Saccharomyces cerevisiae S288C: one gene and its partner. The protein of the gene in region 2 purifies or fractionates together with the protein of the main gene of each other region. This does not show direct contact. Each region holds a gene or a part of one and is shown on either strand. Other genes may lie near its edges.

Region 1 (3,340 bases), on a different chromosome or scaffold from region 2:
TATTGCAGTTCACCACTGGTACTTCTCGTATACCTGTCAACGGGTTTAAAGATTTGCAAGGCTCTGATGGTCCAAGAAGATTCACTATTGAAAAAGCTGGTGAAGTACAACAATTGCCAAAATCTCACACATGTTTTAACAGAGTTGATTTGCCACAATACGTTGATTATGACAGCATGAAACAGAAGCTAACATTGGCCGTGGAAGAAACCATAGGGTTTGGTCAAGAATGATTATTCCGCACCAATTTTTTTTTTATTTATGGTGTCCGTTTTCCCAACATTCTTTCTGCCTCAATCATCTTGTTTTATATTTCAGCTAACAATAGTAAAGAGAAAACTCTTTTTTGTTAATTTTATCTGAGTTGCTCATGAAATGATTAATCATTGTTGTTTTTACAGCAACATGGAAAGCAGCAAAGAAAATGCAGGAAAACGTGAAGTGCTTTTTTTGATGATTACGCAAAGTTCTTTTCAAGTTCGCCATAAGAGGAGGTTTTCCTTTTCAAAAGGAGCATGATACCAATAATTTATATTGCCTTACGCCTCTTATTTTTTATATCCTCTTTTTAGATTTTATTAATTTTTTTTTTTATTTATATACATATAATGTGCCCTGCTTTTTACAACCATACGTTTTTTGTTTTTTAATTTTCTTGCATTTTAAAACTGAATAGTGACCTGGGTATTATACTACAGTTGAAATTGCTCTCGTGAGGTACATACTTGAAACGAGCGTACTAGGCAATCCCTCTCTTGCCAGTCACCTACACACGGAGAGTATCGGTTATTTGTCGTGAGGAAAAAAGAACCGGATAATAAATTCTTGATTTGTTATATTGTACAGAGAATGACGAGAAGTAAAAAGAGAAACCCGAACAGGACAGAGCGTACATTTTTTATATACCTGTTCTTTTGTGCTTGTAGACGTATATCGTATTATTAAATTAAAAGTAAACCTAATTTGAACCATCGAGATAAAAAAAAAAAAAACGGAGCACTTTTTTGCTCATACAAGCAAAACCGCATTGACACAGCCGTCTCTGTCTGGTTCGTTTGTGACCTGAGCATACTTACCCCAGACAACTTTACCACCAGCAGTAACCATCCCCAATTCCGAAACGTTAACTTCAATAATGGTACCTTTAGTCAAAACACCTAACTGAGTGTACATTGGAGATTGTGGATTCTTCTTAACTGCCAAAATTGGCAAGAAGACAGTTACACCTAATTCCGGATGAGTGACGTTTGCCTTTTTCTGTCTCAACGCACTTGGTCTGATGATTCTTTCCATTTTAACTGGTCTTCTAGTGAAACCTTCACCCACAAAAGTGTGTTTCGTTATCATTCTCTTCCATGACTTGGATCTAGATTTACCTGTTTTAATAACTTTGAACATTTCTTCTTCACTTATACCACGAACCTTTGGTAACGGAACTGAAAACTTATCAGCTTTTTCCAACCTCTTTTGTTTGATCGATGAAGAAATAGCTTTGGCTGTGTTATTTTGTTCTCTGTCCAATAGATATGTCGGCAAAGCATCACCATCGGTATCCAATGGTTTGGATGAACCCTTGACCTTAGATTGTTCATGTGCCTTAATCTTCTTTCTCATTGATACCTTTTCAGCATATCTCTTCTTAGCAAATTGCTTACCCTTCCAACCAGTCAACTTCTGGGCCCGTTCAGAAATCTTATGAGACTCTCTTGCCTCTCTCTTACGTTTCCTTTCTTCGTGATCTAATCTTTTACCATGCTGTTTGATGTGACGCTCGATATAATCGTTTTGAGGCATTGTTTCGTTGTATATATCAGTATTGATACGAGACTGACTACTGACTAAAGATAAAAACGCCAGATACGAAAACCAAGTTCTTCTCTAACTGATACCTAATCCATTCAATTGTCTTAAAAGTGCATCTCATCGCTGTCCGGAAAATTTTTCATCGGATTGTTACTAGAACCGTTGCCGACGACATAAAATTTTTTACGCCTTTCCTGCAAGGTTGAAGAAAAGAAACCGATGAGCTATACCATTCTAAAGTGTCAAAAGAGATGAAGAAATTAAAATTGTCAACTAACACACAAATCCAAGAATGTCTGAACTTAATGCATTATTAAAAGATATCAACGGCTCGCTCACTGCGACATCAGAATCCTTGGAGAGGTTGTCTGGGATTTATAGTAATTCTGCGACCGATGAGATTCCTGAAAGTAACCAACTACATGAGCATCTATTTTACGACGCTAAGAAGCCTGCTGAGAAAGTATCGCTGCTATCCTTAAAAAATGGGAGCATGCTAGGGTACATAAATTCTCTATTGATGCTTATAGGCAATAGGCTAGACGACGAGTGCAAAGATCCTTCTGCTATGGATGCACGTGAACGCTCTATTCAACACCGTGTGGTATTAGAGCGTGGTGTTAAACCACTAGAAAAAAAGTTGGCTTACCAATTGGACAAGCTGACTAGAGCATATGTGAAAATGGAAAAGGAATATAAAGACGCTGAGAAGCGTGCACTGGAAAAATCTACCTTAGTGAATCATAGCGGCAACGACGATAGCGAAGATGATGAGTCTAGTGAGGATGAAATAGCATACAGGCCAAATACCTCTGGAATTATCAACACAAATAAAAAATCATCAGCATACAGGGTGGAGGAAACGGCTAAGCAAGAAAACGGGGAAGAAAACGATGACAATGAGACTGGCGTGTATAAACCACCAAAGATTACGGCTGTTCTACCACCGCAACAAACGCATTTTGAAGATAGATTCGATGCCAGAGAACACAAAGATCGTAGTAACAAATCGCGTATGCAAGCCATGGAAGAATATATTAGAGAGTCATCGGACCAACCGGACTGGAGTGCATCTATTGGTGCTGACATTGTGAACCATGGAAGAGGCGGTATCAAATCTTTGAGAGACACAGAGAAGGAACGTAGAGTCACTTCATTCGAAGAAGATAATTTTACCAGATTGAATATTACAAATAAAGCTGAAAAAAGGAAGCAAAAGCAACGAGAAAGAAATGCAAGGATGAACGTTATCGGTGGTGAAGATTTTGGTATATTCAGCTCAAAGAGGAAGCTGGAAGATAGCACTTCGAGACGTGGGGCCAAGAAGACTCGTTCTGCCTGGGATAGAGCTCAAAGGAGACTGTAGATACAAAAAGTTTATTTTCTTATATCCTAAAGCGTTTATAGACTTAATATTTAAAAGTTAAATATAAATGAAGGGCACTGGTATATAAGCTATTAAAAACAAGAATTTTGGCTTTCACGACATTAACGTGTGAGAGGTTTAGGCACCATTGCCTTTATGATTATTAGTCCC
Region 2 (4,804 bases):
CCCTCGGTTGTACATTCATAGATTGCATAATCCTTTTTGACCCTTTATAAATGTATAAAATTGAGTTGCCTGTTTCTAATCGTTCGAAGTATTTCCAGTATGAAAAACAAGGAAGCCCTGATAACGAGACACGCTAATAAACTTCAAACTGATCTTTCTTGTCAGTTATCATTCTACTACTATAATTGAAAAGACTCAATAAAGAAAATATCATAATGATGAAAAAAGAGCGAGCAGCGGGTAAGGACCGAATTCCGTTTGGAATGACTGGTATAATGAGATTTACCTTATACTATAGAGAGGGCTATATCATTACCGAACTTAAGTTTTCTATTGGAATATTATACTTTATAAACTAAATAATTACCCATCTATGTTGTTTCCCCAAGAATGTTTGCTGCCATATAATAAGAACAAAAAAAAAAATAACAAAAAAAAAGAAAAAAAAAATCACTTGTAATCTTAAATTAATATTATACACCGGTTGTCCGTTTTTACCTCTATGCCGTCTTCTCAACTTCTTTCTTCTTTGGTTTTTCTTCCCCTTCCTTTTCAGGTGGAAGGACGAACCAAGGGATTTTACCTCTATTAAAATCATTCAATATTTGCTTAGAAACACCAGACTCATCAGGCTCACCACCCTTCAGTAATCTACCTTGTTTCCTTGCCAGAATTTCAATAAACTCCGTGGCATCCTTCCATCCTGAGATCTCGTAAGTTCTTTCCAAGTGCTTTACCTGACAACGTTTTAAAACACCTGGAATATATTGTTCTGGGTGTGTGACGTGTTCGACTCTGACAACACCTCTGAATAAAATGTCTTCTTCGGAGTCTTTACTAGAAGGCGGCACAATACCTGGACAATCAATCAAAAAAATTCTTTTCATAAGAGTAATATATTGCCAGACCTTAGTTTCACCAGGGATTGGTGCAACTTGACACACCTTTTTCTTTCTCAATGTGTTAATGATGGACGATTTACCAGTGTTTGGATAGCCGATAAACCCTACAGATATTTGCTTTCTATCAGTATGCAACTGTGAGAACTGACGTAGCAACTGAATTAACGAACCTTTACCGAAAGAGTTGGTAATAGATGCGTGAAACGCCAAAGTTGGACGTTCCTTTGACAAATGTTTGACCCAAGCTGCCTACTTGTAAAGTTAGAATTGAAAAAAAAAAACCTTCTGTTAGTAAAAAATACATTTTGTTTCATAATAGGTAATCTTTTGCCCCAAGAGAATGTAATAATCATTGTTATAGCCGAGATTGATTGTTTCGAAGAGTGGATTAAACTAAAAAAAAAAAAAAAGTAGAAAATTGTGAGGATCTTTACTACGAACATATTGTATGGAGCCCGAGATAAAGTCTCAAATAACAAAAGCTCAACTCATAAGATCCTCGCTGTTCTAAAAAGCGAAGGTATACCTTTAAAACAAAGGTTGTCCTTCTAATTTACCCATGAGGCTTCCCCAGAACGGGGAAATATGGATAAGCGAACAGTATTACTCTTCCAAAACAGTAACAGACACTTCTGTAGATAAGTTTATCCTAAAACGGATAGAGAAGCACCCTGACAAAAAGGTTTGGTAATAAAAATCATACTCTATCGAAAAAAAAAATCTCTCGTGCTATCCTCTTGGTTGGAAAGAATCAAAAAAAAAAAAAAAAAAGTTAACATACTGCAACCCAGGTAGGTACCAAATCACACTTATTAAGAACATAAATTAAATGCTTGTGTGGTGTTTCCTTCTTCATATACTCTTCCACGGACTTACAACGGGTACCCAATGGATCCCTTGCATCTAGAACATGTATTACCACGTCAGACGAATCGATGACTTTATATAATTCGTTCCAAATACGTTTGGATTGACCCTTACTGAAAATAGCTTCTTTTGCTGCGGAGGTCCACCCATTTTCTTTGTCTTCCTGGTTCCCCATTAGTCCTAATGTGGCATCTAAGACTTGCTTTTCCTCATACTTGGTAATGTCTTCATTTGTAGCCTTGACCAAGTCCTCTAGATTGGATGCAGCAAGACGTGGTCTCTTTCTTTGGGCTTTGGGCCCAAACGCATCAGCATAACTTTCGGTATCCAAAATTCTGGCTTTTGGGGATTCATCTGCGTCCTTTTCTTCCAACAATGACATGGGAAGCTTATTTCTTCTCAGAAGAACTTGATATGTATCTTTTTGGGTTTCACCCAATGCACTTCTGAAATGCTGCAGTGCGTCCTGAGATATCACTCTTGTGTTACCGAACCAACGACGATCTGGTTGGACCCTCGCATCCGGTATTGTGGAGTCCTGGAAAGAAGCGGCCCTAATTAAATTACCTTTCTTATTCCTGATCTCCTTCCCACTAGTGTACATATTCAGGAATTTGACTCTCTTGGAGTCTCTGTAGAAATTTTCACCCTTCACACGAAGATTACCATCTTTGGTGTCACCTTCACGAATACGTCTAGATTTCTCTTTCTTACCAGTACCCATTGTATTATTCCTCCCCTGATATTTAGTGGTTTTGCTGCAAGTCAACAGATCTTCAAAGTTAACACTTAAGGGAAAGTACTAACAAGTAGTAAATATCTTTTATATATTCTACGCTTCTTTATATGCCCAAAAAGAAGAAAAGTGAAAAATTTTTCTTCAAGCGAAAAATTTTTGCGATGAGCATCGGGCAAAAAAACGTGCTAAATGACAGGTTGTGTTTATATATTTGTTATTGATTCTATATTATAGTAAATTGGTGAGAACATTACCCAAGTCTTTGGACCCAGAGGATTGCTGCTTGATATCAGAGGGAGCATTGGCACGGCTTGTTTCCACACGACGTTGTTTAAATTCCCTGTGAGGGTGAGAATCTGCAGACTCTCCTTCTTTTCCGGCGCGCTTCCTAGAGTTCTTAATGTTTTGTATCATCTTACTTTGCTCCACGTTTCTAATGAATTCCGCGTTCAGTTTGTTGGCCTGCGAGATTTCCATCTCCAACTTGGCCTGTCTGATATCGTTCTCGCGGGCAATCTGTTCAGTCAAATCTGCCCATTTGAAACCTGGGAGGTACTTCACGTTCAGGATATCATCATGGTAGAAAGTACCTTTCTTGCCACCAATAATGTTCCCGTTCAACGTCTCCGCACACAATTTGGCGTCTCTTTTCCTAATAAACTCGGCCCAACCTTCTTCATACTTGTTTTTCTTGTTTCCTCCACCTTTAACTCTTTGCTTGTACTTTTGATCGTCCTCTTTCTTTAGAAATAGTCTATCTACCTCACCAAAACGAGTTAATATTTGTCTCATTTTTGCAGGTTTCATGTAAGGTGGAATACTGGAGAAGTATACCACCCCAGTCTTGTGTTTAGACTTCTTGGCGGCCTTTGATTTTACCAGTTGCCTTAGTTTTTCTGTTTTTAAATCCAGTGAAGTGGTGGACGAAGCTTGTTCTTCTACTTCTCGATCGAGCTTTTCTCCATTCTCTTTATCTGGTTGTTCTACATCCTCTTTTTCTTCTTGTTTTTGCTCTTCTTCTATGTCTGACTCGTTTTCACTTTCGATGTCTTCTACCTTCTTACTGAAGATATCATCCTTACTAGAAATTTTTTTCTTGGTCTGAATTAAGACGTTATGTTGATCGGTTTCCTCATCTGAGGAAAAGTCTTCAAAGTCACTATTTACTTTTTCACTCATGCGTAAAAATTTACTTCACTCTGCTGCAGTAAACTGTTTGCTTTGTACTTACATAGCAATGGGTAGTTTGTCAGGTTGAAATTTTTCAAAATCTTAATAGCGAAAGTTTTACTGCGCAATGTGAGAAAAGCTGGCTATAACGAAGTAATTCAAAATAATAAAACAAGAGAAAGAAAAAATTTACACGTCATTGCCTTTGGAAATGTGATCAGACAGACCCAATATCACCGTTTAAATATTCTTCACGAGATAATGTAGTTTGTCAATTGAAACGCTATTTGGTGGCTGGCTAATCAAATATGGTCGATGAAGGGGTTGTCAATCCAGCAGCCCTTAAAGAATTGTCGCTATCTGTTTGTTCCTATAATTAATTTGCACTGAAAAGATACATGTGCATTATTGCAGTATATTATAAGGAATTCCGGAGTTTTCTAGTAACTTTCTAGTCGCGCAACCGAGAGATGAGTACTACAACGCAACCTATTTGGTAGTGCATCCTACACATTGTGAACGTTTTTGGTTCATATTACAATATTACGATATTACGAATTTTACCCTTTCTTTAATACTAACTTTGATCAGAAAGCACCTTTATCAATATGGCCACGTCTGGGAAGTCGGTCATAATCAAAAGGCTACAGGCTTTGGGGTTTGAAATATCAATATACGAATTGTGAGACTTTGTTTTATCTTAGGGACGAAAATGGATGTGTGAAATTACTTATGGAAGGATCAATAATAGCAACGTTTGCTAATGTGTTAAGATGGCAAAATGCTACTGGTACGCCTCGTTGAGTATCCATCATTATTAATAGCGCCAAAATTGAAACATTAATTGCGGTTTTAGAACAACTTTAGAATTACAGAGCAAGGTGATAAGATCTCAATAGCTTATGAAAAATAATAATTTTTTAGAACCTAATGAACGTGTCGAAACTTTCCGCAAAATATTATGTACATCTCTACTCAACCTTCTATTAGGATCATGAGAAATGTGTTAAAACAGAAAAAATGCACCCTCATAATAAAAAACTTGGCCAAACCAAACCCTTTCTAGTACATCGATATGTATATCACACAATAAAGTCAATGCAGCATAACTTAGAATCGAGGTAGC

What was found.
Region 1: the proteins of NOG2 (region 2) and NSA2 purify together in Saccharomyces cerevisiae (affinity purification with mass spectrometry; 11 studies listed by BioGRID, with this or other methods). This does not show direct contact.

The regions. Positions count from the first base shown.
Region 1 is NC_001137.3:412,386-415,725, forward strand, and holds NSA2 (rRNA-processing protein NSA2), read right to left. Parts: upstream 1,795-3,340; coding exon 1,009-1,794; downstream 1-1,008. Other genes in the region: RSP5 (NEDD4 family E3 ubiquitin-protein ligase), read left to right, coding at 1-233; small subunit rRNA maturation protein LCP5, read left to right, coding at 2,096-3,169. UniProt on the Saccharomyces cerevisiae protein: Involved in the biogenesis of the 60S ribosomal subunit. May play a part in the quality control of pre-60S particles. Under normal, rapid growth conditions, high levels of NSA2 would allow the progression of pre-60S particles through the ITS2 processing.
Region 2 is NC_001146.8:720,620-725,423, forward strand, and holds NOG2 (putative GTPase NOG2), read right to left. Parts: upstream 2,494-4,804; coding exon 1,684-2,493; intron 1,593-1,683; exon of another isoform or gene 1,319-1,592; intron 1,152-1,318; coding exon 501-1,151; downstream 1-500. Other genes in the region: CCR4-NOT core DEDD family RNase subunit POP2, read right to left, coding at 1-28; RNA-binding ATPase activator ESF2, read right to left, coding at 2,737-3,687. UniProt on the Saccharomyces cerevisiae protein: GTPase that associates with pre-60S ribosomal subunits in the nucleolus and is required for their nuclear export and maturation.